3 linked regions of the Macaca fascicularis genome follow. The protein of the gene in region 3 interacts with the protein of the main gene of each other region in a pairwise test. Links are inferred from orthologs where the notes say so. Each region holds a gene or a part of one and is shown on either strand. Other genes may lie near its edges.

Region 1 (10,019 bases), on a different chromosome or scaffold from region 3:
GTGGAGCATACTCTCTCAGGAAGGCCGCCATGCTCATTCGGCCCCTGAAGCTGTGACTCTCTGTTCCTCTGTCCCCTAGGCCCCAGGGGACATTGGTCAGCAGGAACTCAAGTTGTCCTGGCCACACCTTTGTGGCTCAGTGCCAGTGTGTCCCACAGAACCTCCCACTGTGGATCTGTGACCCTGGGTGCTGAAAATGGGCCCCAGGAATCCCCCCCTGTCAATATCTTGGCCCCAGATGGCTCCCCAAGGTCATTCATATCTCGGTTTGAGCTCATATCTTATAATAACACAAAGTAGCCACAGACCGTGTCTGGTTTGTATCTGCACCTGGCAGGGGTCACTCCCTGGGCCCGCCCTCCTCGTCCTCCACCTCTTCCTCTTCCTCCTCCTCCTCCTTCAGGTCCTCCAGGATGAGGTTGTCCAGGTCTTCCAGGAGGCCGCCCTGGCTCAAGCAGGTGGCCACAGTGGAGCCACTGCTAATGTGAGGGTTGCTGGGGTGGAGCACTTTGGGCAGGTGGTTCTGCTTCCGGCTCTTGGGGTGAGCACAGGATGTCCCAGGCACGTGGGGCTCTAGGGAGGGAGAGGTGCTGCAGACATGGGACTCCAGGTCCCATGAGAGTTTGGGCAGGAGGGGGCTGAGGCCACGAGGGGCTCTAGGGAGGGGCTGAGGCCACGAGGGGCTCTAGGGAAGAGCTGAGGCCACAATATACGGGGACCAGCACAACTGGACATTCAGGGGTGTTGAAGATACAGGAGACCTGGGGACATGGGGGGTCACCTGAGATTACAGGGGACAAAACAGGGGCCCCAAACCCAGAGACCATGGGGGCAGAGGCCATGGAGACCCTCAGGCATGGGCCACTGGGGTGAAACCTCAGAGCCTCGTGGGCAAGACCACGGAGACTGGGGGGCCATGGAGGCCACGTAGAAGCAGTGGCTGCTGCTGTGGGAGACGAAGTGGACTGAGTGGAGATTTGGGGACTTAAAGGCACAGAAGGGGACAAAGACTGCCCAGGATGTTGGAGGAGAAAAGCCTCACCTCGCCGGTTGTAGCAGTCGGCGGCCGAGCAGGAGTGAGTGTGGGTGCTGCGGCGATCCGGGTCCCGGTCCCAGCGCGGGGGGAGGATCCGTGTTGGATACACGGGGAAGCCGCACCCGTAGCAGGGGGACGGGGACCCCATCTGTGCCCAGCCCCTGGGGGCGGGCAGGGCTGTGAGGGTCCGAGGGCGAGGCTGGGCCAGGGTGGGGCCAGGGCAGGGAGGGGCAGGGCTGGGGTGGGGCAGGGCTGAGGGGGAGCTGGGGGTCAGCGCCCTCACCGGAAGTTGTGCCGACACTTCGGGCAGTGGAACTCAGCCAGGCCCCACATCTTGTCAGCTGGCACTGGCTCGTAGCGCTTCCGGCATTTCCGGCACCGGGATACCTGGTGGTGGTGGGGGGGGGCGTGCAGAGAGGGGACCAAGGATTGTCAGAGGTGTCTGAGGTTGGGGTCAGGGCTAGAAGTGTGCTGCAGTGGCTGGCCTCAGCTTGAGCAACCCAACTCAATCAGTGACTTCACATGGGTAGCCTCATATTGACCATGGTGGGAATACTTACACCACAGAAATTGGCAAACACTACACATCTTGGCTTCCTGCCTCTTTTGCAAGAACTAGTTAAGCATTGACCAGAAGCGAACTACTGGTCAGGACATTCAGAGGCCAGATTTGGGGCTGTGTTTTTGAGGTCAGATTTGGTTTCTTTTCTTTCTTTCTTTCTTTTTTCAGAGACAGAGTCTCACTCTGTCATCCAGGCTGGAATACAGTGTTGTGATCATGACTCACTGCAGCCTCCACCTCCTAGGCTCAAACGATCCTCCCACCTCAGCCTCCTGAGTAGTTGGGACCACAGGCACACACTGCCACTCCCAGCTAATTAAAAAAATTTTTTTGCCAGACGCAGTGGCTCATGCCTGTAATCCCAGCACTTTGGGAGGCTGAGGCGGTAGATTGCTTGAGCTCAGGAGTGTGAGACCAGCTTGGGCAACATGGCAAAACCCCATCTCCACACACACACAAAATACAAAAATTAGCCAAGTGTGGTGGCGCAGGCCTGTAGTCTCAGTTACTTGGGAGGCTGAGTGGGGAGGATCATCTGAGCCCAGGAGGTGGAGGCTGCAGTGAGATATGATCCCGCCACTGTACTCCAGCCTGGACGACAGGGCGAGACCCCATCTCTTCAAAACAAAAATTTTTTTGGAGCCAGGGTCTCACCCTGTCACCCAGGCTGGTCTCAAACTCCTAGGTTCAAGCAGTCCTCCCCACTTAGCCTCCCAAAGCACTGAGATTGCAGCCATGAGCCACTGCGCCTGGCCAGGTTTGATTTCTGTAGTAGCTGTTCAATTGTGGGGTCAAGGGTCAGGCTCTGGGGTAAGGAGGTATTGGACTTCTCACATTTAAGGTCAGGGGTTGGGATCAAGATGAAGGCTGAGCTCTGAGTTTGGAGGTCAGTGATGGAAATCCTTAGGTCAGAGGTACAGTCACTGAGGATGGGAGTCAGGAGTGGAGTTCGGGACAGTCAAGGTTAAGTTGTGGGTCACTACCTCCTTCCTCTGGGGCACGCGGCGCCACCAGACGTGGTCGCAGGAGGAGCAGGCAAACTGCCGGTCCACAGCAGGGATAAGGTCGTCCTGGGCACGTTGAAACATGCGTAGGTTGGCTTGTGTCAGCGGCAGGAGGGAGGTCGCCACTGCCTGTGGAATGGGGCAGGTGGGGATGAGGTGGAGGGGGGTCACCCCTTCTGCACCAGCATAAGCATCAGCCCTCCTCTCCCTACAGACAAGTCCTCCTCCTGCCCCAGTGAATATCTCCCCTCCTGCCCTAATGGACATCCTTCCGTGCCTGCAGATGTCGCCCTCCCCACTTCCCCATCTCAAGCCCTAGCCGCCAACTCACCTGAATGTCCCGGTCCTGTTTCATATCTTCTGGTGGATCCTGGGTGGAGATAGCAGGGGCAGAAACTGGGATGGGGCTCAGGCCTCTTTTCCACCTGTTTGCTGTGTTGGGAGGGCCCCGGCCGCAAGGAGAATAGGGTGCCCCTAGCTCGCCAGGAGCTCACAGAGCACTGCCCACATATTGAGAGCCAGGTGTGTGGCCTCAGTTGTCCTCATAGCAGCCCTGAGAGGTGGGCACACCTGTTACCTTATTGCTCAGATGGGGAAACTGAGGCTTAGGGGAGGGCTTGCCTGTGAGGCCAGCCTGACCCCCGTACTCACTTCCTGCCTGCAAATGCCACATGCTTGTTGGTGTTGTGACAATATCGCCCCTTTGAGGCCACGTTGTGCTTGGCTAAGTGGTGGGGATCTGGACTGAGAGATGTGGGTTCGAATCCCAGCTCTATCACTTCCAGCTGTGGGGACTTGGACAAGCCACTCCCTGCCTCCTGGGTTCCCACTGACAGGCATGTTAGAGCCCAGACTCTGACTCCAGGTGGCCAGGGTTCAAATCGCAGCTGCCACCTGCTTGCTTCGTGAACCTAGCAAGTGACTTCATCCTCAGTTTGTCTGTGAAATGGGGATAAATAACAGGACCTGTCTCCTGGGGTCACTGTGGCGATGAAATAAATCAATTCCTGGAGTCTTGCCATATGGGAAATACTAAATGAATGCTACCCTCTGCTATTGTTATTATTATATTTTTGAGATGGAGTTTCACTCTTGTCGCCCAGGCTGGAGTGCAATGGCGTGATCTCGGCTGACTGCAACCTCCACCTCCCAGGTTCAAGTGATTCTTCTGCCTCAGCCTCCCAAGTAGCTGGGATTACAAGCATGCACCACCACGCCCAGTTAATTTTTTGTATTTTTAGTAGAGACGGGGTTTCACTATGTTGGCCAGGCTAATCTCGAGCTCCTGACCTCAAGTGATCTGCCCGCCTCAACCTCCCAAAATGCTGGGATTACAGGCGTGAGCCACCGCACCCGGCCCCTCTGCTATCATTTTTATCATACTTTTATATGTATAAATGTAGACTATGATACATATTTTACTATCCTCTGGGTTTTTTTGTTTTTTGTTTTGTTTTTGAGACGGAGTCTTGCTCTGTTGCCCAGGCTGGAGTGCAGTGGCGCGATCTTGGCTCACTGCAAGCTCTGCCTCCCGGGTTTACGCCATTCTCCTGCCTCAGCCTCCTGAGTAGCTGGGACTACAGGCGCCTGCCACTACGCCTGGCTAATTGTTGTTGTTGTTGTTGTTTTGTATTTTTAGTAGAGATGGGGTTTCACCATGTTAGCCAGGATGGTCTTAATCTCCTGACCTCGTGATCTGCCCGCTTTGGCCTCCCAAAGTGCTGGGATTACAGGCGTGAGCCACCGCGCCTGGCCTTTTTTTTTTTTTTGAGACAGAGTTTCGCTCTTGTTGCCCAGGCTGGAGTGCAATGGCGTGATCTTGGCTCACTGCAACCTCTGCCTTCCAGGTTCAAGCGATTCTCCTGCCTCGGCCTCCCGAGTAGCTGGGATTACAGGCATGCGCCACCATGCCCAGCTAATTTTGTATTTTTTAGTAGAGACAGGTTTCTCCATGTTGGTCAGGCTGGTCTCGAACTCCCGACCTCAGGTGATCCGCCCGCCTCAGCCTCCCAAAGTGTTGGGATCGCAGGCGTGAGCCATGGCGCCAGGCCTATTATACTGTAACAGCCCTACACTGAGCCTTTCAGGCAGGCGAAATCCACAGTGTTCCCATCACCAAAGCTTTCGAAGAAGCAAAGTAGCCATGATGCACCTGTGCTTCAAAGCCATTCATTCATTCATTCATTCATTCATTCATTCATTCATTCATTCAACACAAAGGTTCCCTTCCCCTCCCTCTCTCTCCTCCCCAATCCCCTGCTCATCCCAGCCTTTCTAGAGACTGACACTAACAACCCTTCCCCACCTCCCAGCCTTTGCTCATGCCATTCCCTCCCACACCCTAAGGCCCCTGCCTTTCTTTCCCTTTCCCCTCCCAGGGCTCACTCCTCTCCATCCTTTAAGACTTGGTACCTCCTCCTCCAGGAAGTCTTCTCTGATCTCTGCCCCCCCACGATGGCCATAATCCTGACTCCTTTCATTGCCTAGTTTCATGGCTGTCCGCCTTTGAATACAATCAGCGCATAATGAGCGCCTACTGTTTGCAGGCTCCCTGGCCGGACAAACGATAGAGAGGTGAAAAAGTGATATTGGGTGATGAGTTACAGACCGACAATGCCTGGTCCCTCCTGTTTCAGAGAAGTGTCAGTCACCATGAACCGGTCGGGTCCCCCCTCTTGCTGTCCCTCCCGTGACCCGGTCCTTTGCGAGGGGAGGGGACAGGTTACCTGGGCATCCAGATCGTTACTTAGTTCTTGGCCATCTTTTTGCTTTACCCCTGCGGGGGAGAGTGCGTATAAGAGAAGGGCCCTTGAAGGGTCTGTGGGAGTTCCAGGCCACCCAGAGCCGCGATGCAGAGCCTCCCCGAGGCTGGGACCTCCGGGGGAGGTGATCTCAACGCCTCTCCCTAGACCACGCCCCCTCGGCGCTCCCACGCGCGGTCTCCGCACCAGGCCCGGGACCCCAGCAGCCTCACCGTACACGATGGAGCGCCCAACTCCTGTGTGGTCGCTGCCGAATTTCCTCATCAGAGCCCCCGCCTTCTTGGAGGATACCTTCCCATGAAACTTCTCCCGGAGGCGCCGGACGCTCTTCTCCAGCTGGGATGGGGACAGGGGGGTTCCGGTGGGCGAAGGGGAAGCGCGATCGTCCCTCCCCCATCTCTAGGCACCGTTCTCCCGGCCTGAACTTGACCCTTGGTTTTGGCCTCCGCCGCCCCCCCTTTCATCCCTCTACGGCATTTCCTGGAAAAAGCCAAAGTCCCCACATGGCGCTGGGGGAGGGCGCGGACTGAGGCGAGCGTCCCAGCCTAAGGTGGGGGGGCGGCCAGGTTATCTCTGGCCTCTGACCTTTGACCCTGCAGCCCCCGCTTTTCCTCGGAGAGGCCTCATTTCGCTCTGGGGAAACGTGGGAGTCACTTTCCTTTTCAAGGGGGGTGAGCGCCAGGCAGGGGTAAAGATCTGGGGTTCTAGGATGGGGGTCCCCAGGAACTGCGAAGCCCCCTCCGCGCCTCTCGGCCGCTCCTCGGAGTCTGTCGCGTCTGCCCCCGGCCCAGCCGTAGCCATCTCTTACCTCCACACCTTCCTGAGACATGGTGGCGGCGGCGCAGGTCCCCGCGAGGGTCCGCACTGCGCGGTTCAGCCGCCCCCCTACCTGGGCGCGCCCGTCGGTCCAGCAGCCGCGCAGGGCAGGGGGCGGTGCCTCGGGGCCGGCTCCGCCCTTCCTCCCCAGCCCCTGTTTCGCTTTCGATTCAGGGGGGACCGGGCGCGCTGGCTCCGCCCTGGCTCCGCCTCTGCTCTTGCGCCCCAAACCCAGGCGGTCGCCCCGGGTCTGCACCCTGCGGCGGAGCGCGCAGACCTCGGGCGGGGGAGGCGGCGCGGCCTCTGCAGTCGGTCACATGTCCCCACGCTGCGCGGGGTCCGCGTCTTCACGTCCCTCGTGGGGGCGGGGCCGCATCGGAAGGCCGCGGCGAGGCCCCGCGCCCCCCCACCCAGCGCGCGCTCCCCCAGTTCATCACCCTCCTCTCTGTCCTCCCTCCTTCCCCGGGAATCTGGCGCTCATGAGGACCTGGGCGCTTTTCCTGCCCTGAGTCTCTGTCCTAGCTAGGGTCACCTCTCTGAACCTCAGTTTACCCCTCTGTGAAATGGGGAGGATCCTGGTGTCTACACCATGGAGTGGAGTATATGCCAAGATTCCCGAGTGGATCGCGTAATAGCGCCTGGCTTGCAGTAGGCACTCAACTAGTCACTGGGCCACCTGCTGTGTGCCCTTGATAGGGGCAGGCAGTGTGTGTGTGGTTGTGGGGAGCGGTGCTTGAGAAAAACACAGATTCTTGGTCTCTCGTTGCCCGGTAGAATCCGGCTGTCTCAGGGATCCAGGGAATCTGCAATGGTTAAGAACCCCGTGGGCTGGACAGTTCTAACCCAGTACAGGGCGCATCAGGGAGCCGTTAGGTGGTGGGGCTCTGGCCCAGCCTGGGGACACAGAGATGGCTACTTCATTGGAGGAGGGGATGCTTTGTACAGTCACTGAAATTGGAGGTCTTAGCTCGGGGACGAATAGAGTGGGGAGTTGAGGCAGCCGTGCAGAGCCCCCAAAACAAGACTAAGTCTGGGGCTTTCGGGCAAGGGCTTCTCAAGCCCAGCACTCTTGACACTTTGGGCTGCCTGGTTCTTTGTGTGGGGGACTGTTCTGTGTGTTGGGGGACATTTAACAGCATCCCTGGCCACTGCCTGCTAGATGCCAGTGGCTCCTCACTCTCCCTGTTGTGACTACAAAAAATGTCTCCAGAGACTGCCAGATACTCTCTGAGGGGCAAAATAGCATTGTGTTCAACGACTCTAAATTTTTTTCTCCATTGCACACCTCTATAGGTAAAACTGTTAAAATTACACCCCCAGATGGATATTTATTTATTTATTTATCTTTTGAGACAAGGTTTTGCTCTGTTGCCCAGGCTGGAATGCAGTGGTTTGAATACGGCTCACTGCAGCCTCGAACTCCTGGACTCAAACAATCCTCCTACCTCAGCCTCCTAAGTATCTGGGATTACTGGCATATGCCACTATGCCTGGTTAATTTTCAATTTTTTTTTTTTTTTTTTTTTTTTTTTTTTTTTTGTAGAGACGGGGTCTCACTATGTTGCACAGGCTGGTCTCAAACTCCTGGCCTCAAAGATGGATTTTTTAAAAAAATTTATTTATTTGTATTTATTTATTTATTTATTTTTTGAGAAGAGTCTCCCCCTGTGGCCCAGGAATGCAGTGGTGCCATCTCGTCTCACTACAACCTCTGCCTCCCAGGTTCAATCGATTCTGCTGCCCCAGCCTCCCAAGTAGCTGGGATTACAGGTGCACGCCACTACGCCTAGCTAACTTTTGTATTTTAGGTAGAGACGGGGTTTCACTATGTTGGTCAGGCTGGTCTCGAACTCTTGACCTTGTGATCCGCCCGCCTCTGCCTCCCAAAGTGCTGGGATTACAGGTGTGAGCCACTGAGCCCAGCCAGGATATTATTTAAATTATATACAAATACAATTATATCAATATATTCTGTAAATTGTTACATAACAGTATCTTTATTACAGAAATATATATTCTTTTTTTTTTTTTTTTTTTGAGACGGAGTCTCACATTGTTGCCTGGCTGGAGTGCAATGGTATGATCTTGGCTCACTGCAACCTCTGCCTCCCAGGTTCAAGTGATTCTCCTGCCTTTGCCTCCCAAGTAGCTGGGATTACAGGTGCCCGCCACCATCACTGACTAATTTTTTGTATTTTTAGTAGACACGGTGTTTCACTATGTTGGCCACTACATGTGGTCTGGAACCCGTGACCTCATGATCCTCCCGCTTTGGCCTTCCAAAGTGCTGGGATTACAGGCATGAGCCACTGTACCCAGCCAAAATATATGTTCTTTAGGAAACAAAAAATTGTAATCTCAGCTACTTGTGAGGCTGAGGCAGGAGAATTGCTTGAACCTGGGAGATGGAAGTTGCAGTGAGCCAAAATCATGCCATTGCCCTCCAGCCTGGGCAACAAGAGCGAAACTCTGTCTCAAAAAAAAAGAAAGAAAACAGAAAACTGCAGATTCAAAAATATACATGAGGGCTGGGCTTGGTGGCTCATGCCTGTAATCCCAACACTTTGGGAGGCTGAAGCGGGCGGATCACTTGAGGCCAGGAGTTTGAGACTAGCCTGGCCAACATGGGGAAACCCCATCCATACCAAAAATACAAAAATTAGCTGGGCATGGTGGTGCATGCCTGTGATTCCAGCTTCTTGGGAGGCTGAGGTAGCAGAATTGCTTGAATATAGGAGGGAGACATGGCAGTGAGACGAGCTTATGCTAGTGCACTCCAGCATGGGTGACAGGGTGACTTGAAAAAATGTAGAGAGATAAATGAAGCTGGGTATGATGGTTCACACCTGTAATGCTAGCACTTTGGGAGGTCAAGGTGGGGAATCACTTGAGGCCAGGAGTTCAAAACCAGCCTGGGCAATATAGCAAGACCTAGTCTCTTAAAAAAAAAAAAAAAAAAGAAAGAAAGAAAGAAAGAAAGAAAAGAAAAAACTTATTAAAAAAAAAACACTAAAAAACAATAACCCCCCCCAAATCTAGATATTCTAGTGTTTTCTGGTTAAACCCCAAAACTTTGTTTATAGGGTGTATGTACTGCACTCTGGAGACTACTATATTCGCAAACAAAAGCAGTTCATGCTTCTTCGTGGCTGAACGGTGGAATTCTAGGCGGGGATGGGGGCTGGAGACTGCACAGAGGACCTGGGATTTTATCCTGAAGGAAGTGGGAAGGTTTGGAGGGAATCTCCTGTCATAGTTGCCAGTTACTAATCTATTTGCCCAGCGCAGAGGGAGGTCATAGTTATGTCCCATCCACTGGCCGAGATGGGCACTGAGTGGGAAGGAAACAGGTAAGAGTCTGAGCTAGCCCTGACGTAAATCAGATCTGCTAGGCGTTTTGTTTTTTGATTTTTTTTTTTTTTTAGCACAGAATATGCAGAGCAAAGGTCTGTTAGAGCTGGCATTTTTTTTTTTTTTAAGAGACAGGATGGAGTGCAGTGGCACAATCATAGCTCCGCTGCAGCCTCAACCTCCCGAGCTCAAGCAATCCTCCCGCCTTGGCCTTCTGAATAGCTGGGACTGCAGGTGTGTGCCACCACACCCGGCTAATTTGTTTGTTTGTTTATTTTGTTGTTGTTTTGTTTTGTTTTTGTTTTGAGACAGAGTCTTGCTCTGTCACCTAGGTTGCAGTGCAGTGACACGATTTCAACTCACTGCAACCTCTGCTTCCTGGGTTCAAGCAATTCTGCCTAAGCCTCCTGAGTAGCTGGCTAATTTTTATACTTTTTTGTAGAGCTGTGGGTCTCACTGTGTTGCCCAGGCTGGTCTTGAACCCCTGG
Region 2 (10,047 bases), about 160 Mb from region 3:
AGCTCGGCCTCATGCATCAGAGGCTGTTAAAGTACTCACATTCTCTCACCAAGTTGTGTAAATTCTGGAAATCTATTTGGAAATTTTCCTAAATATGAAAAAAAAAAAAAATGACCGGGCGTGGTGGTGTGCACCTGTAGTCCCAGCTACTTGGGAGGCTGAGGTAGGAGGACCGCTTTAGTCCAGGAGCTCTCAGCTGTGGTGCACTATGCCGGTCAGGTGTCTATACTAAATTCAGCATCAATATGGTGACCTCCAAGGAGCAGGGGACCACAAGGTTGCCTAAGGGGGGTGAACCAGCCAAGCCAGAAACAGAGTAGGTCAAAACTACCATTTTTAGGCCGGGCATGGTAGCGCATGCCTGTAATCCCAGCACTTTGGGAGGCCCAGGCGGGCAGATCACCTGAGGTCAAGAGTTCAAGACCAGCCTGGCCAACATGGCAAAACCTCATCTCTACTAAAAATACAAAAACTAGCTGGGTGTGGTGGCACACACTTGTAATCCCAGCTACTCTAGAGGCTGAGGTAGGAGAATAGCTTGAACCGCGGAGGCAGAGGTTGCAGTGAGTTGAAATTGGGCCACTGCACTCCAGCGGGGGAGACAGAATGAGACTCCGTCTCAAAAAATAAATAAATCAATAAATGAAAATAAAAATAAAATAAAACTCCCCTGCCGATCATTAGTGGGAATCATGCCTGTGAAGAGCCACTGTATTCCAGAGCAACATAGCTGACACCATCTCTCAAAGAAAAAAAAAAAAAGAAGGCTGAGCGCGGTGGCTCATGCCTGTAATCCCAGCACTTCGGGAGGCCAAGGCGGGTGGATCACCTGAGGTCAGGAGTTCGAGACCAACCTGGCCAATATGGTGAAACCCCGTCTCTACTAAAAATACAAAAAAATTAGCCGGGTGTGGTGGCACACGCCTGTAATCCCAGCTACTTGGGAGGCTGAGGCAGAAGAATTGTTTGAACCCAGGAGGCAGAGTTTGCAGTGAGCTGAGATCACACCATTGCACTCCAGCCTGGGCAACAAGAGCGAAAGTCCATCTCAAAAAAAAAAAAAAGAAAGAAAGAAAGAAAAGAAATTTATGTCTAAATATGCTTAGGAGATTCGGTATTGTTTAAAATGGCAAAAAAAAAAAAAAAAGGAAACCATTTGAATTATGTTCAAAAATCATAGAATAATCAAGTTGCAGAATATTCACTGGATGGACTACCTGCAGCCATTAAAATGATACTTAGAAACTTTTATAATTTGGAAATAGGCTTATATTATAAGCATGAATGCATAACTCATATGTAATTTTGCATCCTTTTCTTTCTTGCATTAAAGAAAAAGGCAAAATACCAAGTTGTATAAAGATTGTTAATCTGTATGTATAACAAAAGCAAACAAAATAAAGAACTAACATAACCAGGTGTGGTGGCATGCACTTGTAATCCCAGCTACTTGAGAAGCTGAGGTGGGAAGACTGCTTGAGCCCAGGAGTTGGAGACAAGCCTGGGCAACATAGTGAGACCCTCATCTCTAAAAAAAAAAAAAAAATTTTATTAGCCAGGCTTGGTAGCATGTGTCTGTAGGCCCAACTACTGGGGAGGCTAATGTGGAAGGATTGCTTGAACCTAGGAGGTCAAGGTTGCAGTGAGTCGTGATCACACAACTGCACTCCAGCCTCGGTGACAGAGCAAGGCATTGTCTCAAAAAAAAAAAAAAAGACCAAATTAATGAGTACTACTCTGTCAGGCAATTGTTCTAAGCACTTTACATATATACTTTTTTATTTCTCCTAATGACCTATAGGCAGATACTATTATAATACCCAGTTTATAGATAAGAAAACTGAAGCACAGAGAAGTTATATAACTGGGCCAAGGAACTGATTGGGATTCAGGCCAGGGTAGTTCAGGCCACAGCCTAAACAAATGTTGAGAAACAAGACACCAAAATACTTACAACAATTGCCTCTGAGTGGAAGAAAAGAGGACAATTACATCTTTATCTTTCTCTACATTTTAAAAAGTTTTTAGGGAGTTGGGTGTGGTGGCTCACACCTCTAATCCCAGCACTTTGGGAAGCCAAGGCAGGCGGATCACTTGAGGTCAGGAGTTCGAGACCAGCCTGGCCAACATGGCAAAACCCCATCTCTACTAAAAAGAGAAAAATTAGCCAGATGTGGTTGTGTACACCTGCAGTCCCAGCTACTCGGGAGGCTGAGGCAGGAGAACCACTTGAACCCAGGAGGCAGAGGTTGTAGTGAGTTGAGATCATGCCACTGCACTACAGCCTGGGTGACAAAGTGAGACCCTGTCTCAAAAAAAAAAAAAAAAAATTGTAATAATGAGAAAACTACTCTCTAAAAGTGAAAAATAATGAATTAACGTGTTTCTATAATACATCTGAGCAGAGTACTTTTCTTTTAAGTTGATTACAGAACCCCCACTATTATAAACAGGAATACTGACCCTTGCTCTGCCAGCCAGTCTCTTCTCCAACAGACGAGAAAATTCGACTGAGTTCTATTTAGAGAGAATGGGTTGAAGATAGGTTGTTTTTATGGATGAAGAGAAACTATATCCAAGGCTAGTATCCAGTTCTCAGTTTCAATATCAAATTTGTTCAAACCCACGTTCTCCTACTTTAGGCCTGATGCTCGGCTAGCCACTCTGCCCTAGCCATAATCAAGAATCTAGGTATCAGAATCCCACCTGCCCTCACACACCAACAGCTCAGTTCTATACTCAGGTGAGATGGGTGAGAGGGGAGGGGAATGGAGGGCCACAGAGATTCTTTGCTTTTGCTTGGCCAAACTTCAGTGAGGCTTCTGAACCTTCTCGGAGGCCTATCTATACACCTCCTTGTAAAATCCAGTTTTAGCCAAACTGCTAAGTCAGTTTAGCCAGAAGCCCCAATCTTCGATAACCGATCATCTTTGATATTTGATCAGGGTCCCCATCCTTCACCATCCCCCAGGTGATGTCTGATCACCCTGACCTGTCTTCTACAAGATTCCTCTAGGTCATTTTAGCCAGAATCCCCCTTACCCCAGTTTCCTCTTAGTAATTTTCTATCCACTGACCCCCACACTGCTCCTTGGCCATAAATTCCCATTTGTCCGTGCTGCTTTCGGAGCTGAGCCCAATCTCTCCGCCCACTCCCAGACCCGGTTGCACTGGTCCTATACCCATCGCTATGGTCCTGAATAAAGTCTTCCTTACCATGCTTTAACAAGCATCATTGAATAATTTTTTATTTAACAATGGGTAGTCATGGCCCAGGTAAGAGGGACGTGGTGTCCGCTCCTGGAGCTGCAAGGCTCCTGGGGGCTTTTTGTTTTGGTTTGGTTTTGTCTTTGTGTGCAACGTGAAAAAAAGCCATTGATTCAGGCTTTAGCATGCTGGGAAGGAAGAGTCAAGAATCCAGTGACACTGGTAATAACTGTGAAATGGAACAAATACCACTATATTTATCTAAATGTAAATTTTAAAACTGGGAACAGCAAATCCATTCTACAGTGAGGGCCGCTTGGCCAGTAACAATGATTTCATTTTCACGTGCAGTTAAAGCCCTCTGGCTTCACCGCAAGGGTCCAGCCCTTACCACTGCTAAGAACTACAACTCCCAGCCGGAGGGAGGTCTTTGCGCCTGCGGCCTGACGCCCTACGCCTACACTTCCCAGAGAACCTAGCGGTTACGCTAACGTGCGCGTGCGCTCTTGCGCGCCTCTCTCTTCCCACTCGGGTTTGACCTACAGCCGCCCGGGAGAAGATGGCCGCCCCAGGAGTGTCCGGTCTCTCCCGGCAGGTGAGAGAAACATGATCCTGAGAGCCAGTGGTAGGATCCCTGCTGGGGTGACCGGTACCCAACCCCGAGCACCAGGGTGCGATGCTTCGGTTGGGGAAGTCTGGCAGTCTTCCAAGGTTATGGGACCCGGCGAGTGGGAGCGACTCAGGACGACCCAGCGTTTGTCCCCCGGGATGCCTACGGGGCGGAAGGCGCGGGGCTGTGCGTGCCGTGACCTTGGCATCCTCCGAGCACAGCCCCAAGAAGCTGCTAGCCTGAGGGGCGCAGGAGAGGGGGTCTGCCGTTTGCTGAATTCCGGGGAAGGGGCATGGCCTAGCCTCCAAATCAGCTTCCTTTGCCATTGTGGTAAAACCTGTCAGAGATCACTTACTAGTAATGCTAAGGAATATTTGTAAAACACATTTCACAGTTTTATAAATGAAATGAGGCCGAAAAGTTTAAATGAGTCTTTGACTGCTCAGCCAGTAAGTGGTAGAATTGAGATTTGAACCCACAGAATCACCCAGAAGATGGAGTTTGAAAAAATTGTATGCTCTTTGTACTGAATATCACCATGGTGCTTTACATATCATGACCCCTTCCTGGCATCTTAGGTAATTTTTACATAAGCATTACAAAGTCTTAATCCTCACAAGCAGTTTGGATAAAACACATTCCATAGCTGGAAGTATTTGAAGGTGACCTGTGATCTGTGACCTGTGCGCTTGCAGGTGATTTTTAAACTGTAAGACTGTCTCGCAGAGGTAGGGCCTCTTGTCAGATCAAACTCTGCGGCAGTACTCAAAAAATTCATCTTTATTTTCAGATAGCATTTGGATTCCGAGAAGGGTACATCTGTTGCAAATGATCTGCTCAAGGGTGTGGTAATAGGAACGCCAGAATTTTGGTTAAATATTTTTGAAACGTGCACTCCTTGGAAGTTAGTGTTTTCTCTGTCATACGGGTGTGCTAGCCTCGGTCCATTCCTAGCGAGCTAGGAGGTTAGTGAGAAGGTGATTTCCCAAGCAACTTGGGATAATCCTCGTTGGGTAAGTTTACTCCTTAGTAATAATAAGTAGCTCATCCTCATGTAACATGTGAAGATACAAAGAGACAAAACTAATGCTTTCAAGGTCATTAAAAATTTGTTGTTGATGTTGTTACTGAGTTACGTGCAGAAATCCTTCGAGTAATCTTGTTTGATCTATTTTCCTTTATTGCTTCAAGGTGCGATGTTTCAGTACCTCTGTGGTCAGACCGTTTGCCAAGCTTGTGAGGGTATGTTAATTTATATTCTTCTGTAATGATAAGCACGTGAAAGTGTTAGTCAAACAGCAGTACAGTTAGGACGTGGATTTTTGTGTAGTTACTATCTAAACCTTTCTGCACGACTTGTGGTTCCCAAAATGTGATGTGTGCGTAGGGTGTGGAAAGGAATGGTGTTGAATACTTGCTTTGTGACAGGCCCATGCATAATCTTTAAATATGAAAACTTTTTTTTCGATCATTTGTTTTTCCATTAACCCTCTAAAATAGGGAAGCTAACATTTACTTATTTTTTAATGAAAGAAACAGGTTTAACAAAATGACATGCCCAAGTTATCACAGGAAATTATTACAGGAGTTGATATTAAAATCAAGGTACCTTGGTTTCTAATGCAATTCTGTTGCAATTCTCTATGTTCCATTCTGGTTAGGAATATTCATACTCTTCACACTCTTTCTCTCCACTAGGAGAGAAAGAAGGCTCACTATTTCAGAGAGTTGCCCATCCCTTTCTTTTCAAACCGGAAGTAGTCCAGTTGACCCCGGATAAAGAGGACTATCAGTGACACATAATAAATGAAGTTCCCCAGAAGGCCCCCACAAATGATACATGACTAACAGCTGGTAACAACCCTGTTGGAACATGAAGTCTGACTCCATTTCTGTAGGTTATTTTGAAATTCTTTATTTGATTAAAGAAAGTTCCTTTGTGATCGAGAATTGAATCAACTGTCAGGAAGCAGGAACTTTTCTAAGATGTGCTGGGTCAACTATCCTACCCACACTTTTCCCCACCAAATCAACAGTGAGCCAGTCCTCCCCTTGGAAAAATTTCGTAAAGGAAAGATCATAATACCAGCCTATGTCCTTAATGAACCCACATCAGGTGGGATTTAGGAAAATAATTATCATGTCCTGTCCTCATTACCAGCCCCAAATCTCAAGTCAAATGATCAAAATCATTTTGTCCTTCATGTGAGAGCTTAAAAACCTCATAACAGTGTTCAGGAGTAACTGGTCTTCCCGTTTTACAAAAGGGGAAGCTGAAGCCCTGGGAAAATGTACCTGAGGTTACTCAGCTTAGTCCTAGAGCTGGACTGGAACTAAATCTTTCTCATCCAGGCTTGAGCTTTCCCACTACAGCCATACAGCACCACTAAGAACGTGTAGTTACACACTGATGGTAGAAGAAAAGTCTGTAGTTTACTGTGAAAAATAATTCAAGCATCAGGTTTTTTGTGAACTGCCAAAGGGCTCTGTTAAATTGAACATCGATAGGGAGGCTATGTAAGGGAAAATGTATAGTGTCAGTATGAAATGTATAAAAGTATATTTGTGTGTTTCATAAACACCTGTTTTCCTAGCTCTAACATACTCGAAACTGTCTATCAGTGTTCACAACGTCCCATACTTGAAACTAAATAGTTACTGAGTTTAAAGGAAACATAAGCTCATCTCAAAATTAAAGTACAAGTAATTGATAAAGGTAGGTAAACCTGGAAGGGACTTTAGACCCTGCTTACTAAGCCCCTCATTTTACAGATGAGGAATTGGAGGCTTAAAGATTTGAGTGACCTGACCAAGGAAACATCCCTAATTTACTTGCAAATTGCCATTTAGGGCAGCTCTTGGGTGACACATTTAAACTGTTTTGTGTTAAAACGATATATTTTTTAAAATATAAATTTTAAATTCTGCTCTTGACAGTATACTATTAACTGATTTTCCTTTTTGCTTCCTCTCCTATTTCACCTTTTCTTTAAAGCCTCCTGTTCAGGTATACGGTATTGAAGGTCGCTATGCCACGGCTCTTTATTCTGCTGCATCAAAACAGAATAAGTTGGAGCAAGTAGAAAAGGAGTTGTTGAGAGTAGCAGTAAGTAGCTTTCCTATTCATTATATATTAAGTTCCTGTTTGTATATTTTTTCCTTTGGTTGGTTGACTGCATTCCTAATGAGGTGTATCCTCCAAGAAAAAGAACTGGGAAAAAGCCATTTTCTGTAAACACGTTTTTAGTGATAATGTTGGGTTTTTGTTATTATAAAACATATAAAAAGAACAAACAGATACATATAAGGATATTAATATTAGGAACCAAGATTTGGGGCTAAGAAAAGATAGAAATGTAAAATTAAAATAGATGATAATTTAGGAAAATTGCTATTTCAGTGGAGAATTTAAAAGCTACCTTTAAAAATCTATACTTATAACTGGGCACGGTGCTCACACCTATAATCCCAGTACTTTGGGAGGCCGAGGCAGGTGGATCAGGAGTTCATGAGTTTGAGACCAGCCTGGCCAACATAGTGAAACCCCATCTCTACTAAAAACTACAAAAAATTGGCGGGGCATGGTGGTGAACACCTGTAATCCCAGCTACTCTGGAGGCTGAGGCGGGAGAATTGCTTGAACCTGGGAGGCCGAGGCTGCAGTGAGCTGAGATCGCACCATTGCACTCCAGCCTGGGTGATGGTGCAAGACTATCTCAAAAAAAAAAAAAAAAAAAAAAAAAAAAAGATTATATGCTTCTGGGCTAGGTCTTTAGAATATATTGTGATTGGGTTTTACGGAGAATTTGTTTTCATAAAACCTTTGCCTCGGGTTTTAATTGCCATATTCTATGCTTGTAGAATCAGAGGAGGCTCAGACATGTCTTACAGGTTGTTTTCATTTGGTAGAGATGCTTTGCAATTGTCAGAACCCCAGAAGTAACCATGTAGACCTTTTCATTGTTATTTTGTTCCCAAAATGTGACAGAAGAATGACAGGCTGGGGCACGCTGGGCAGCAGAGTTAGTAAAGGGGTATGGGCTTCCCAGGGGTAATAGAGGACTGACAGGCAAAGACTGTGAGGCCGCTGCAGGATGTTTGTAACTTTTTTTTAAACATGAAAAGCAGAATAAATAAACCGTATTAACAGAAGCCTACATTGTAACTCAATAGGAGAATGTCTGCTTTCATTTTCACTGAATTTTCTAGTTAACAAGTTTCTACACATTCTGTTGCTTCTTTCTTTGATTTTCTGGCTGCTACCACTGGCAGTAAGGTCTGCATTAAAAAAGGTGAAGGAGACGCAGTCTGGTATATAGCCTCTTCGGAGGAAGTTTTGTTCTTTCTTGATTTTAAGATTCTTCATTCCTTGGCCGGGCGCAGTGGCTTACACCTGTAATCCCAACACTTTGGGAGGCCGAGACGGGTAGATCATGAGGTCAGGAGATCGAGACCATCCTGGCTAACATGGTGAAACCCCATCTCTACTAAAAATACAAAAAAGCCCGGCATGGCGGCATGTGCCTGTAGTCCCAGCTGCTGGGGAGGCTGAGGCAGGAGAATGGCGTGAACCCGGGAGGCGGAGCTTGCAGTGAGCCGAGATCATGCCATTGTACTCCAGCCTGGGTAACAGAACAAGACTCTGTCTCAAAAACAAAAAAAAGATTCTTCATTCCTTAATTCATATGTCTGTAAGTTTTTATTGTTTAGGAAAAACAGTTCATAGGCCAGTTGTATAGAATAATAATTCTTATGTTCTATATTAATCATCGTGTGTATAGTCTATAAGTATTACTGTTCTGTACTGTTTATGTTTTATTCATTTTTCACTTGAGCTTCTGTTGGAACTTCCGTCTTAACAGGCAGAATAATTTTAGCTCCATATTCCTTCCTTGATCCATTTACCTCTGCAGATAATGCTTAAGGTCTTAGCTGGTGTGATAAACTCTTAATGATTCTCACAGAGCCCAGGAACCCAGCCCTGTTGTTGGAGACATTTGGAGGAAGGGCATGCAGGAACAGACGGGGTCTCACACAGGCGTTTTTGGAGGTGATGGTTATTGTCTGCTACTTGTCAGTTATGCCCATTTTAAACAGAAACAATCGTGTTTACAATGGAGAGAATGACTTGGATTGTGGGCATTAGAATGGAGTTTGTCTAAAGCCTGGAAGTCAGTCAAGACATGGAGAAAAAGGGAGGCAATTATCTGAAGACACTCTGAATATTAGCAGAGTTTTGGCATTAAGAGGGAAGGATAATGCAAGCATCATACTCACTGTCCTCTGGATGATGCAGGAGACACAGATAAACATGAAAAACTAGGTAACCCAAATTCCAGAATGCTTTCAATCTGTGTATGCCTGCATTTTTTATGGAAAAATGTCATTTCTGTGGGGTCACTCAAGTGGAAATGTTAGCATTGGATGATAGTATCTGACCAGTATCCTGGATCAGAGACAGGATTCTGGCCAGGAGCCTGGGAGGAGGTGCTAGGAGAGTAATTGAGGCATAGAGAGGTGTGTTAACTGAAGGTGCTTGACTGGAAGCTGCCATTGTTGGTTTGTTGGAACTCTGGAGCAACATGCTGGAAGCTGCACTTGGTCACTGAATGCAGATATTTGTGATATAACAAAATGAGAAGAAGGTCGTTTCCCATGATGGTTGTGCTCCCGTTTTTTGTCCACTCTGTCTCCCAGACTCTTTGGGTCTGGCTGCTCTGGCAGCACCAGAGGTCTCGCAGAATCTGCTGGGTTCCCTGGACACTGTAAGAGGCAGGACCCCTCCAAGGGAGCAGTGAGGAGGCCTCTGCAGTCAGAGCACAGTTTTGAGGTCTGCACTTTAGAAATAGCACTGCTAGAAAAGCCAGACTAATACTCTTAAATACATTAAAATATGCAGTCAAGTGAAGTTTGGCTGCTTAGTGTTTTATAATCTTTCTTGAAAAGCAAAAATAAATTTAAGAAATTTCATACAGTATTTTTAAATTTTTTTGAGGAACATCATTCTATCCTATATAAAATCCTGGTGCAGTGCAGTGTATTCTGAAAGGCCGTCAGAAAATTGTTTGATTATAATATTTTTGTCATAAGTTCTTTGGCAGTGCTAATTTAATTCATAAAATACTTAATTCATAAGAAAGTGTGTGTATGGCCAGGCACAGTGGCTCATGCCTGTAATCGCAGCACTTTGGGAGGCCGAGGTGGGTGGATCACTTGAGGTCAGGAGTTTA
Region 3 (9,519 bases):
GGAATCAAGAGGTTAAAAAACAGGTAAGCTAGAGCAGTTGCATGTCTTTTCTGCTGCCTGGGCCTTGGTTCTTTCCACCGGCAGTCTGCAGGAATTGCAAAATTGAATGGGTTAAGCAGCAGCTAGGTCCAAGTCAGGCGGTGAGTCCAGTTTTCTTTCTGTCTCATCATATACCTCTCATATCTTGTCAAGCAGGACGTATCTGCACCTAGACCTTTCTTGTGATGCTGCAGAAAGTAAACAGCTTCCTTAGTGGAGTAGTGCAGATACTTTTCCTAGGTTGCTCTAGGAAGAGCCAGTCTTCTACCAGGCCACCTGTCCCTTTGTTCTAGCCTGCTTTCCATCAAGTTTCTTAGTATTTTGGGCTCTTGTCCCTTTGATCGCCTAGGAATCTAATGATATCATTGTAAAACAACATGCACCAAAACAAACTGACAAGGGAGAAGGGCTAGTTCTTTCGCTGCAACAGTCTTCCGGAGAGAAACTGCTTTTGCAAAGTGGTAATACGCATGCCCTAGAGCTGCCTGCAAAAGACGCAGGACCCACGGGGCAAAGGGATCTCTCCATATATAGAAACATAGAATGTATTTGAAGTAGAAAAGTCAGGTCTAGCTTTAGAAATGTTGGCACCGAAGGTAAAGGCTCTGAACCAGCACATGGTGGAATATGATGAGCTCAAGGAAACATGATAGTGGGAGGGGCTGCAGTGGCTCCGACTTTTCACATCTTAGGTAATGGTCCCCTGGCACAAGGTAAGCAGAGCACTGCACACTGGATCCTTAGCCAGTGCTGAAGACCCAATTGCCGGAAATTCCAGATATCCTCAGAGTTGACTGGACAAGAGGCTTTTTTCTTTACCTCTGTTTAGAACAGAAAGAACCTGTAATGTAAGCTGAGGACTTACACAGGAAATACTCTAACTCTGTAGAGACTCTGGCCCTGAGTTAAGCCCAGGGCAAGAATTCAGTTGCTACATACCTGCAGAGATGTACCAGTTAATAAAATATGGAAGTACTTCTATATTGTTGGTAAGTTACCCCTGGCATTCTAGCATATATATCCCAGGATACCTCCACCCCAACCTCTCAGTGATCTAGCAACTGTAGGGCTAGGGATGGTCTCCTTGGACTAGTCTATGCTCCTACTGTACAGACGTGAAATATTTTCACTATCACTCTTGATCACTCCCAGGCCCCACCTTCATGTCCTGTGATACCCAGAATCCAGGGGGCGACACAAGCCTACAAAGAAGAGATTATCCCCTGACACACCCCTAACAGCGACAACAAAGGTTAAACCTAACAGGGCACCATAGGAAAACCGGACTGAGTGACTTGCCCAGGCTGACAAAAATGGCCTGAAGTAGACTTCACGCTGTCAATGTCCTTCCTGCAGTGCCGAAAGAGGGATGAGGGAACGCTCCCCACATAAGGAAGGTAACAAAGGCTACTATGTAAATGAAAGGACTCCAGGGACCCCACGTTGGTTCCCAGAAAAGGTGGTCATTGTGAGGTGGTTCCACAGCAAATGGGGCTGAGCCCGTGATTTCCTGCAGACAGACTGCTCTCGCCTCCCCCTTCTGCATCTCCACCTCCCCGAAGGGCCGTGCCTTACAGTGCGAGGCCTCCACTCCTGGAGATATCTATCCTTGGCAGGGCCACCCATTAACTCTGAGGTACCTGAGCCCAAGATCCCACTTCCCACTTGATCTAGCCTTTGGCTCCGGTTACCTTTTTACTCTCGGAAAGTCTGAGGGGGTTGTTTTCTTCAGGACTTTCAAGGGAAGAGTCAATGTCATCTTCCTCCTCTTCACTGTCTTCTTCCTTCTCCTCTTGCTCTTTGTCCTCTTCATTTTCCTCCTGATCTTCTGTGGATTTAGCTTCCCCAGGATCTGCTGGCTCAGCAACTAGCTCATCCCCACACTGCTCCTTTGCTTCCTCTTTCACTTCCTCCTTTTTTTCCTCTTTCATCTCCTCTTTCTTTTCCTCCTCTTTTGCTAGTCCATCTAATTTCCTCTGGCTGGCTTTGTAGTACAGCACCACCTCCAGACTCTGTGGGGTGGGAGTAGGGCAGGATGAGGGCTGCGTTACCTGTGAAGCTCCTACTCTCATGACAATGCTGTACTAGCTCCAGGAAACATGACTTCCAGCATGTCAGAGTGCAAGGGTGCAGCCCGGTGCTCCGGGACTGTGAGCCAATCCTCTGAGCATATGTAGAGGGCATCACACCTCACCTCTCAGGACCACTATGTCTGTTGGCCAATAAGCCATTTCAAACAGCTGCCAGAACTAAAGAGTCTTGGGTGTGCACCTAAATTGTTGCTTCCCACCCCTACAGTGACTCTTTTTTTACCCAATCCTCTTTCACTTATTAGTACACAACTACTTTGAACAAATTCCTCCCTCTTCATCTATTTGGTCCTTCTCTTGGGCATGCAACCCAGGAAGAACAGGGGCCCCAGCAAATGGGGTTGGGTGAACTGAAGGAGTTGTCCAGCCTAGGGGCTGTGGTCCTTTAGGGCTGTACCTCCCAATGTGAGTTGTCTGTGTTCAATGTGAGTTGTCTGAGTTGTCTGTGTTCCACTCTCCCCATAGCTTCACAGGAAAAGGGAGCACCCACTTTCCATTAAGATGGGAACCACTGTAGACACTTCAGAGATCCCAGAAGCTTCTCTACAAATCCCTTGCCTGGTTGAAAGGGTGGTGGAGACAATGCTTCTTCCCAGGATCTCCTCCTCCTTTCTGCTTATCTGGCTACGAAGGTTACTACTCACCTTTCTGGTCTCAAAGTCACTCTCAGAAGTATCCGAGCACGGCTTGATCACCTTTTTCATTTTAACCCCATTGGCGTTCTTGTTCATGTTCTTATTAGCATTCTTCCCCCGGGCTTCTTTGACAACAGAGGGCCTCTTCTCCCTGAGCTGGCGGAGCTCCTCCTGGCAGCACTGCAGCTGCCCCTCCAGCTGCTCTTGCACTACCAGAAGCCGCCCCTGCTCATCCATGCTAGCCTGGTATTGCAGCTGCAGTTCTCGCAGCTTGGTCTGCAGTTCTTTGATCTGTTGGTAGTGAAGGGCCAGTTACCCAGAGTTGGCTGGTTACGCAACCAGTTGGCTGATCATGCAACCAACCTCAGCCCTGCTTGGGGGTCTCAGAAATCTCCCTGCTAAAGCCCATAGGAAGAGAAAATATTCAACTGTGAAAAATGAGCCTCTCAAATAGTTTTACAAATAGCTTCTCCTAACTTGAGGCACCTGATGACGTACATCTAATAAGATGAAAAAAATGGCAGGGCGTGGTGGCTCACTTGCCATCCAGTGTAATCCCAGCACTTTGGGAGGCTGAGGTGGGCGGATCACTTGCGGTCAGGAGTTTGAGACCAGCCTGGCCAACAAGGTGAAATCCCATGTCTACTAAAAATACATTCGCTGGGCTTAGTGGAGCGCACCTGTAGTCCCAGAAACTTGGGAGGCTGAGACAGAAGAATCGCTTGAACCCAGGAGGTGGAGGTTGCAGTGAGCTGAGATCGTGCCACTGAACTCCAGCCTGGCAACAGAGTGAGACTCTGTCTCAAAAAAAAAAAAAAAAAAGAAGGTCAAAATGATTTAAATGGTGTTTTCTACTGTGACTGGGGAATAACAACAGGGCTGCTATCAATTCTGAACCTCGGGGATTTATTAGATAGAATTCTTTTTTTTGAGATGGAGTTTTGCTCTTGTTGCCCAGGCTGGAGTGCAATGGTGTGGTCTTGGCTCACTGCAAACTCCGCCTCCTGGGTTCAAGCGGTTCTCCTGCCTCAGCCTCCTGAGTACCTGGCATTACAGGCATGCGCCACCATGTCCAGCTAATTTTGTGTATTTTTAGTAGAGATGGGGTTTCTCCATGTTGGCCAAGCTGGTCTCGAACTCCTGACCTCAGGTGATCCACCCACCTTGGCCTCCCAAAGTGCTGGGTTTACAGGGGCGAGCCACCGCACCTGGCCTAGAATTCTTTTTATGGGAACTCCTACTTCATCCAACCCATCTCTCTAACAGGAACAATTACTTAAAGAACTGTGTTGTACACTCCTGAAGTGTGTACTGGGCTCCTGCACCTCACCCTGGAAACAGAGGCAAGTCACATTCTGCTCCCTGATCTCGGGTTTTGTCTTCCTTGGCTGATGGCAGAACATGACCATCCCCTCAGTAGGTACCAATACTAACCAATCTGGACCCATGTGTTCGCTGCTCTCTGAATCTCTCCCGTGTGTATACAAAGAGACCCCCATTGGACTGTGAACCCCTGGCCAGACACAAGACTTCTGTCCCATTCCTAGGGGGTGCAGAGCACTCTTCTTGGCATTGTGAGAGATCCAAAAGGAGACATGTCCCTGTCCTTGAGCTGCTTACAATCTAGTTGGTGCTCCCAGTTGGTGCACCAGGAGACAAGGCAAATGCACACAAAGTGATGAAAGAAGATTGGCAAATGCAAAAATACAGTTCTACAGAAGTGGTCTAGAACACAAAGCAAAAGAGAGAACAGAAGTGGCAAAGAGAGAAAAAGAAATCATTTGATACGTGGAATCCTGATGACCAGTAAACCCCAGCTCCTCGGGCACTTGGGAATGTCATCAGGGATGCAGCAGACTGCCCAGCCTCTGAGGTGCATGCTGTCCCTGCTTTGTCCCTCTCTCTTTGGCCTCTCTGAAGTGGCCATGACCCCTCTGGCTCCAGGGGCTGCCAGAGGAAACCCTGCCTCCCTGACAGTGGTTACCTCATTCTTGTCGTTCTGGGGGGCCACGGGCTTTTCAAGGCATTCCATGCACTCCTTGAACTCCCTTTCACAGGCATCCAGCTCTTCCTTCAGGTCTTTCTGCTTGGCCAGTAACTTTTCCATCTGCTCTTGCAGCTGGCTGTGTTCCTCCTGGCTTATCTGGTACATGGCCTGCACCGCCTGCAGCTTGATCAGCACCTTCGCAACCATTTCCTCAAAGTGCTGCAGAGGGTGGGGGAGCAACAATAGCACCCTGAGGAGCACCTAAGCTCCGCCCCACTCTGCTAGGCCCTTCCCTGGATACCAAACAATGGCCACCAGGATCCAGAGCTGCCCGCGGGGGAATACTATATTTACCCCCATTAAAGAGCACCATGGCTGTGGTGAGGAAATGGACTGAATCTTATGGGCCTCTGTCCAGACGGGGGCATCTCTCTACAAGAGGGCTGAGTGGGAGACCAGGCTGCCATGGGTAGAAGGCTTCGCTTACTTTCAGTAGTTCCCCAGGTCAGCTCTGACCCCATTCCCACACTTCTTGTCCCTTCCACTGGTGATGCATCTCTTAAAAAGACAAGAGTCCATCGTCCCCTGCCTGACCTGTCACCTGGCAACCGTTACCTCCATGTCTTCAGGCTCAGCAGGTTCCTCGTCAGTGCAGCTGCTGACAAAACTCTTCTGGCAGGTGTCAGAGCTACTGGTGCTGCCGTAACTCTTCTTATAGGTAATGCTGCTGTCGCTAGTAGTGCAGTAACTCTTTCCATAGGCCTCACTGGCACTGGTGCTGCTGTCATAGCTCTTGAGAAAGCTCTCGCTGCTGGTCTGGGTGCTGGCGTAACTCTTGTTATAGCTCTCATTGTCATCCACAGTGGTATCATAAGTCTTACGGCAGTTCTCATTGCTGGGGGCCATGCTACCATAGCTCTTCCCGTAGGACTCAAGGCTCATTTTTATAGAAGGGGACTGGACTTGAAGCAGCTGCATTTCTTCCAGGCAGAGCTGCAAGTCTGCCTGCAGTCTCTTCCGCTCCTCTAGGAGCCTCCCTTGCTCTTGCTGCAAGAGCTCCTGCTCCGCCTGACTGGCCTCATACAGCACCTGCAGGGCCTGCATCTGCTCCATGAGCAGCTTGGATTGCTGGGGGCAGGGGTGGGGAGACATTATCATTATTGTGACACTTCAGTCCTTCCAGCTGCACCTTTCCTGGTACAGATGTCTGAGAGCACACCTTAGAGAATGGCATGCCTACATTTCCACCTCACCCCGGCTTATGTCTCTGACTTAAACTACAGGTAACTGGCATGTATCAGTTTCTTGCTCATTTGGGAAAATATCCCCAGGGCAGATACTCCATAATTTCCCGGCTCCCATTTCAGCTGGTTTCTGCACTTTGGTACATCCCTGTCTCCCTGGAGCAGTCCCGAGTGGGTTTCCAGAACACCTTGGCTCCCCATCACACCCTCTTCTCAGTCAGGTATACCTGTTATCCTGACCTTCAGGCTCAGTCTCCCTGCCCACCCCTAGTTGTAAAATCAGCCTGGCCTTGAACGCGGCAATATGAAGAACTGGAATCAAAGTCTCACTATTAGTTCCTGTATCTCCTGCCCCAATTCTGAATCTGGCCTCTGGGCATGTTTCCCAGGCTCTCTGGGCCTGGCTTCTTGGCGCTGATGTCCAGGATGAGATCTGATCAGTTAAGGAAATATTTTATACCTGGTTCCCAGCTGTGTTACCCAGGCCTGCAGCCTGGACATCTGCTGCCCCTGGAATATGATCCAGCCTCACAGTGTTGACTTCTGCTACTCCCTGGTTCTCCTTGTTCAGAATAAGATCTGAATGAATAGATTCGGCCTAAACCGAAACTGTCTACCTGCCCCTCCTCACCCACGCTGAGACCTCAGAACAACTTTAGCCCCCAACCCTGAATAGAATTGTACGGTGATCTCCACCTGTGTCACCTCATCGGTATGACCCCTTGCTGGTACTTGAAAGGCATCGATTTTCTGGTCTAACCCCTGTGACCTTGCTCTGTTATTGCCACCAAAGTTCCAATGAAGATAGTGTGGTCAGTACTAAGAACCCCATGTGCTAGGAATTCTTCTCTTGGAAATGAAAGGGCCCAAATTTGCCTCACAGATAACACCAAAGGTGAACGATTTTGATAACTGAGAACCGTACTTTTCCACTCAAGAAAAAGATGACATGTTTAGAGTCAGTCCAAAGGAATCCAACTATACATCTTACTAGGAATGAGTCAAATGATCCGATGACAGATTTTGGGTCATCCCAGCTCTGCCCTGAGTGCTCACAGTGCTTCAACTGGGCACTGTGAATATCAATATGATAAAGGATAATGGCATCTAGGTGAGGTCCTCAGGCTGTATCTAAAAGCCACCTCTTAATGGAGCCTGAAAGAGGTCACAGGTGGTGAAGGGCAGGGCTTTAGCCTTATCCTTACCCCTGGCCAAACAGGCCTTCCCAACTCTGACCCTTCAGCAGTGCCCACTCTCCCTGTCATGCTGCTGTGCTCAGGAGAACTGTCTCCCTACCTCTTGCTATGGTTACCTTGTTTCGATTATATTTTGAGGACTTAGCCAATTTGGAATCATCGGGATTCTCCAGCACTTCCTGGAAATGAGACTCTTTGAAACGTCGCAGCTCTTCGTGGATCTCTAATTGTTCTTTTAATACACAGTCCTGGTTCTGTATCAGCTTCTTCTGTTCCTCCTGCATGCCTTGGTAGAGCAGCTGCAGCTCACACAGGTCTTCTAACTTGGTGAGTAGCTCCTGACTCTGAGGCGGAGTAGAAGGAAGGAGGCAAGGGATTGTGGTGGTTACACAGAAAGTCCGATGCCTCCTTGGTGCCTCATCCCTGCTGTGAACAATTCCCTGAAGAATCTCAGGGCTGGCTTCACAGAGCCCATCTGGGGACAGGGGGAGTCTTTCTATGGAGACCAGCTAAAAGTAGCAATGGTTTCTTACGTTGGGATATATTTTGTCATTTACAAAGTGGTTTCAGGTGCATTTTCTCCAGATGGACTAAATAACTAAATATAAACTGCTGCACAGATTCCAGAGTATAAAAGGTATTTTAAGATTTAAAGCCCTTATAAGAAAAACTCTAATTGGCTCTATGGAGCTTTTTGGTTTGGGGAGAGTGGTGAGAAAGTAAGGAGTCATTGGTAAGAAGAAGAAAAAGTTCAACCTCCACCCTTCTATTTTTCCCTAGTCACACAGGGAAGCTTCTCAGAGCAGCTTCCCCAGTTAGCAGCTGCCTCTGGCGGAGTTACCTTGAGTAAGAGGCCACTCTTGGGCAGTGGCAGTGTGAGCCTGTGCAGCTCTTCCTGCAGCTGGCCCTGCTCCTCCTGCATCCTCCTCTGGTCCTCCAGGAGCTCACACTGCTCCATCTGCAGCTGCCCCATCTCCTTCTGGCTGGCCTTGTACTTTTCCTGCAATTCTGTCAGTCTGGACAGCAGTGTGTCACACTGTGGGTGGGGGCGGGTGCGGAGGGGGTGGTTACTCTGTAAGGTAAGCTTCCTGGGTGGCTAACAGAGCACTTCCGCGCTCTCCTGCCTCTTGTGATTCTCTCCCTGTGCAGTCACTTTGGACTGGTCACCCCAAGCCACAATGCACCCTGGCTGTTTAGATACCGATTGGGGATCCCCCACAGGCTGGTCTTTCAGAGCAGGTTGCTCTAGACTGGTGGCTGGCCTTGCTCTAAACTTCTACCATTCCTTTCTGGGGGCAGTTTGATGGCGAATGCTATCGATGCCCCTTTCCTCTTCTCTGGCCCTTTCCTTTGGTGTATACACCATATTCCCACCCTGCTGGGAACTCTTAGCTCCTGTTATTCTCATTAACCCCAGTTGTTTTTGAATGCAATTACACTCCTTACCAATAAGGACCTAATTTCACCCTAATTTTTCCCATTTTTGCTTTCCTAATTCTCTCTTTATATCTTTAGAAAGTATGCGCTATTGCTGAATTTGGATTGAGAAGTCTAAATCATCCCATTTCCAAAAACCCAAATCTTCCAGTATCAGACAGATCTCAATGCTGTTTTATGGCTAGAGAAAAAAACAGGTGCTGTCTGCCAGCATGCTTCTCCTTTCCCATCGTTTTTCCCATTAGGGGAAGAGGTGACGAGCAAGTCACGGATCCCCTGGGCTCCTAAATTGAGTAGAAGTGGAAAAAGGAGGAAACGTGAGCCTGGATATAGAAAGGCAAAGAGACTGTTGAGGTAGCCCAAATAACCTTCCCAGTCCTCTGTCTCCTGAAGGCCTTTCCCCAGGGACAGGAACTACTGAGTTTCTGGCAGAATGTGACCAGCTCCACCATCTTTAGAGACTCTTGGGCCTTTTCTCCAACATGCTTCAACACCTTTCCATTTCCCATCAGTAATCAGGAGCTGAAAGTGCTCAACAGGATAAATGATAACGGCTTGCATTTTATACACTATGGAAAAGAAAAAAAATGAATAAGCCCTTATTTATCACTATCAGGATTTACTACTAAAAGGAAGTGAGATAAGAGTAGAATTCTCTTCCATTTAAAGAGGGCACAATTCAACCTTCAACAATTTAATTACTGGCAGGGCATGGCAGCTCATGCCTGTCATCGAAGCTTGGGAGGCCGAGGCAGGTGGATTACCTGAGGTCAGGAGTTCGAGACCAGCCTGACCAACATGGTGAAACCTCGTCTCAACTAAAAATACAAAAATTAGCCAGGCGCGGTGGCATGTGCCTGTAGTCCCAGCTACTCGGGAGGCTGAGACAGG

What was found. The genes of interacting proteins can lie anywhere in the genome.
Region 1: the proteins of CCDC136 (region 3) and SHFL interact in binary tests that used the Homo sapiens proteins (3 or more experiments, as listed by UniProt). The two-hybrid records come from large-scale screens. The link is inferred for Macaca fascicularis from reciprocal best matches to the Homo sapiens genes CCDC136 and SHFL.
Region 2: the proteins of CCDC136 (region 3) and ATP5PO interact in binary tests that used the Homo sapiens proteins (3 or more experiments, as listed by UniProt). The two-hybrid records come from large-scale screens. The link is inferred for Macaca fascicularis from reciprocal best matches to the Homo sapiens genes CCDC136 and ATP5PO.

The regions. Positions count from the first base shown.
Region 1 is NC_088393.1:10,629,236-10,639,254, reverse strand, and holds the start of SHFL (shiftless antiviral inhibitor of ribosomal frameshifting protein), read right to left. Parts: upstream 6,305-10,019; 5' UTR 6,194-6,304; coding exon 6,173-6,193; intron 5,701-6,172; coding exon 5,577-5,700; intron 5,379-5,576; coding exon 5,329-5,378; intron 5,154-5,328; coding exon of another isoform or gene 5,015-5,153; intron 2,973-5,014; coding exon 2,934-2,972; intron 2,732-2,933; coding exon 2,582-2,731; intron 1,424-2,581; coding exon 1,320-1,423; intron 1,198-1,319; coding exon 1,043-1,197; intron 574-1,042; coding exon 341-573; 3' UTR 57-340; coding exon of another isoform or gene 1-56. Other genes in the region: ANGPTL6 (angiopoietin-related protein 6), read left to right, coding at 1-56.
Region 2 is NC_088377.1:13,009,972-13,020,018, forward strand, and holds the start of ATP5PO (ATP synthase peripheral stalk subunit OSCP, mitochondrial), read left to right. Parts: upstream 1-3,743; 5' UTR 3,744-3,766; coding exon 3,767-3,802; intron 3,803-5,008; coding exon 5,009-5,059; intron 5,060-6,812; coding exon 6,813-6,923; intron 6,924-10,047. UniProt on the Homo sapiens protein: Subunit OSCP, of the mitochondrial membrane ATP synthase complex (F(1)F(0) ATP synthase or Complex V) that produces ATP from ADP in the presence of a proton gradient across the membrane which is generated by electron transport complexes of the respiratory chain.
Region 3 is NC_088377.1:170,268,215-170,277,733, reverse strand, and holds part of CCDC136 (coiled-coil domain-containing protein 136), read right to left. Parts: intron 8,228-9,519; coding exon 8,033-8,227; intron 7,536-8,032; coding exon 7,308-7,535; intron 5,880-7,307; coding exon 5,367-5,879; intron 4,971-5,366; coding exon 4,749-4,970; intron 3,056-4,748; coding exon 2,774-3,055; intron 2,052-2,773; coding exon 1,731-2,051; intron 861-1,730; coding exon of another isoform or gene 855-860; exon of another isoform or gene 228-854; coding exon of another isoform or gene 123-227; exon of another isoform or gene 1-122. UniProt on the Homo sapiens protein: May play a role in acrosome formation in spermatogenesis and in fertilization.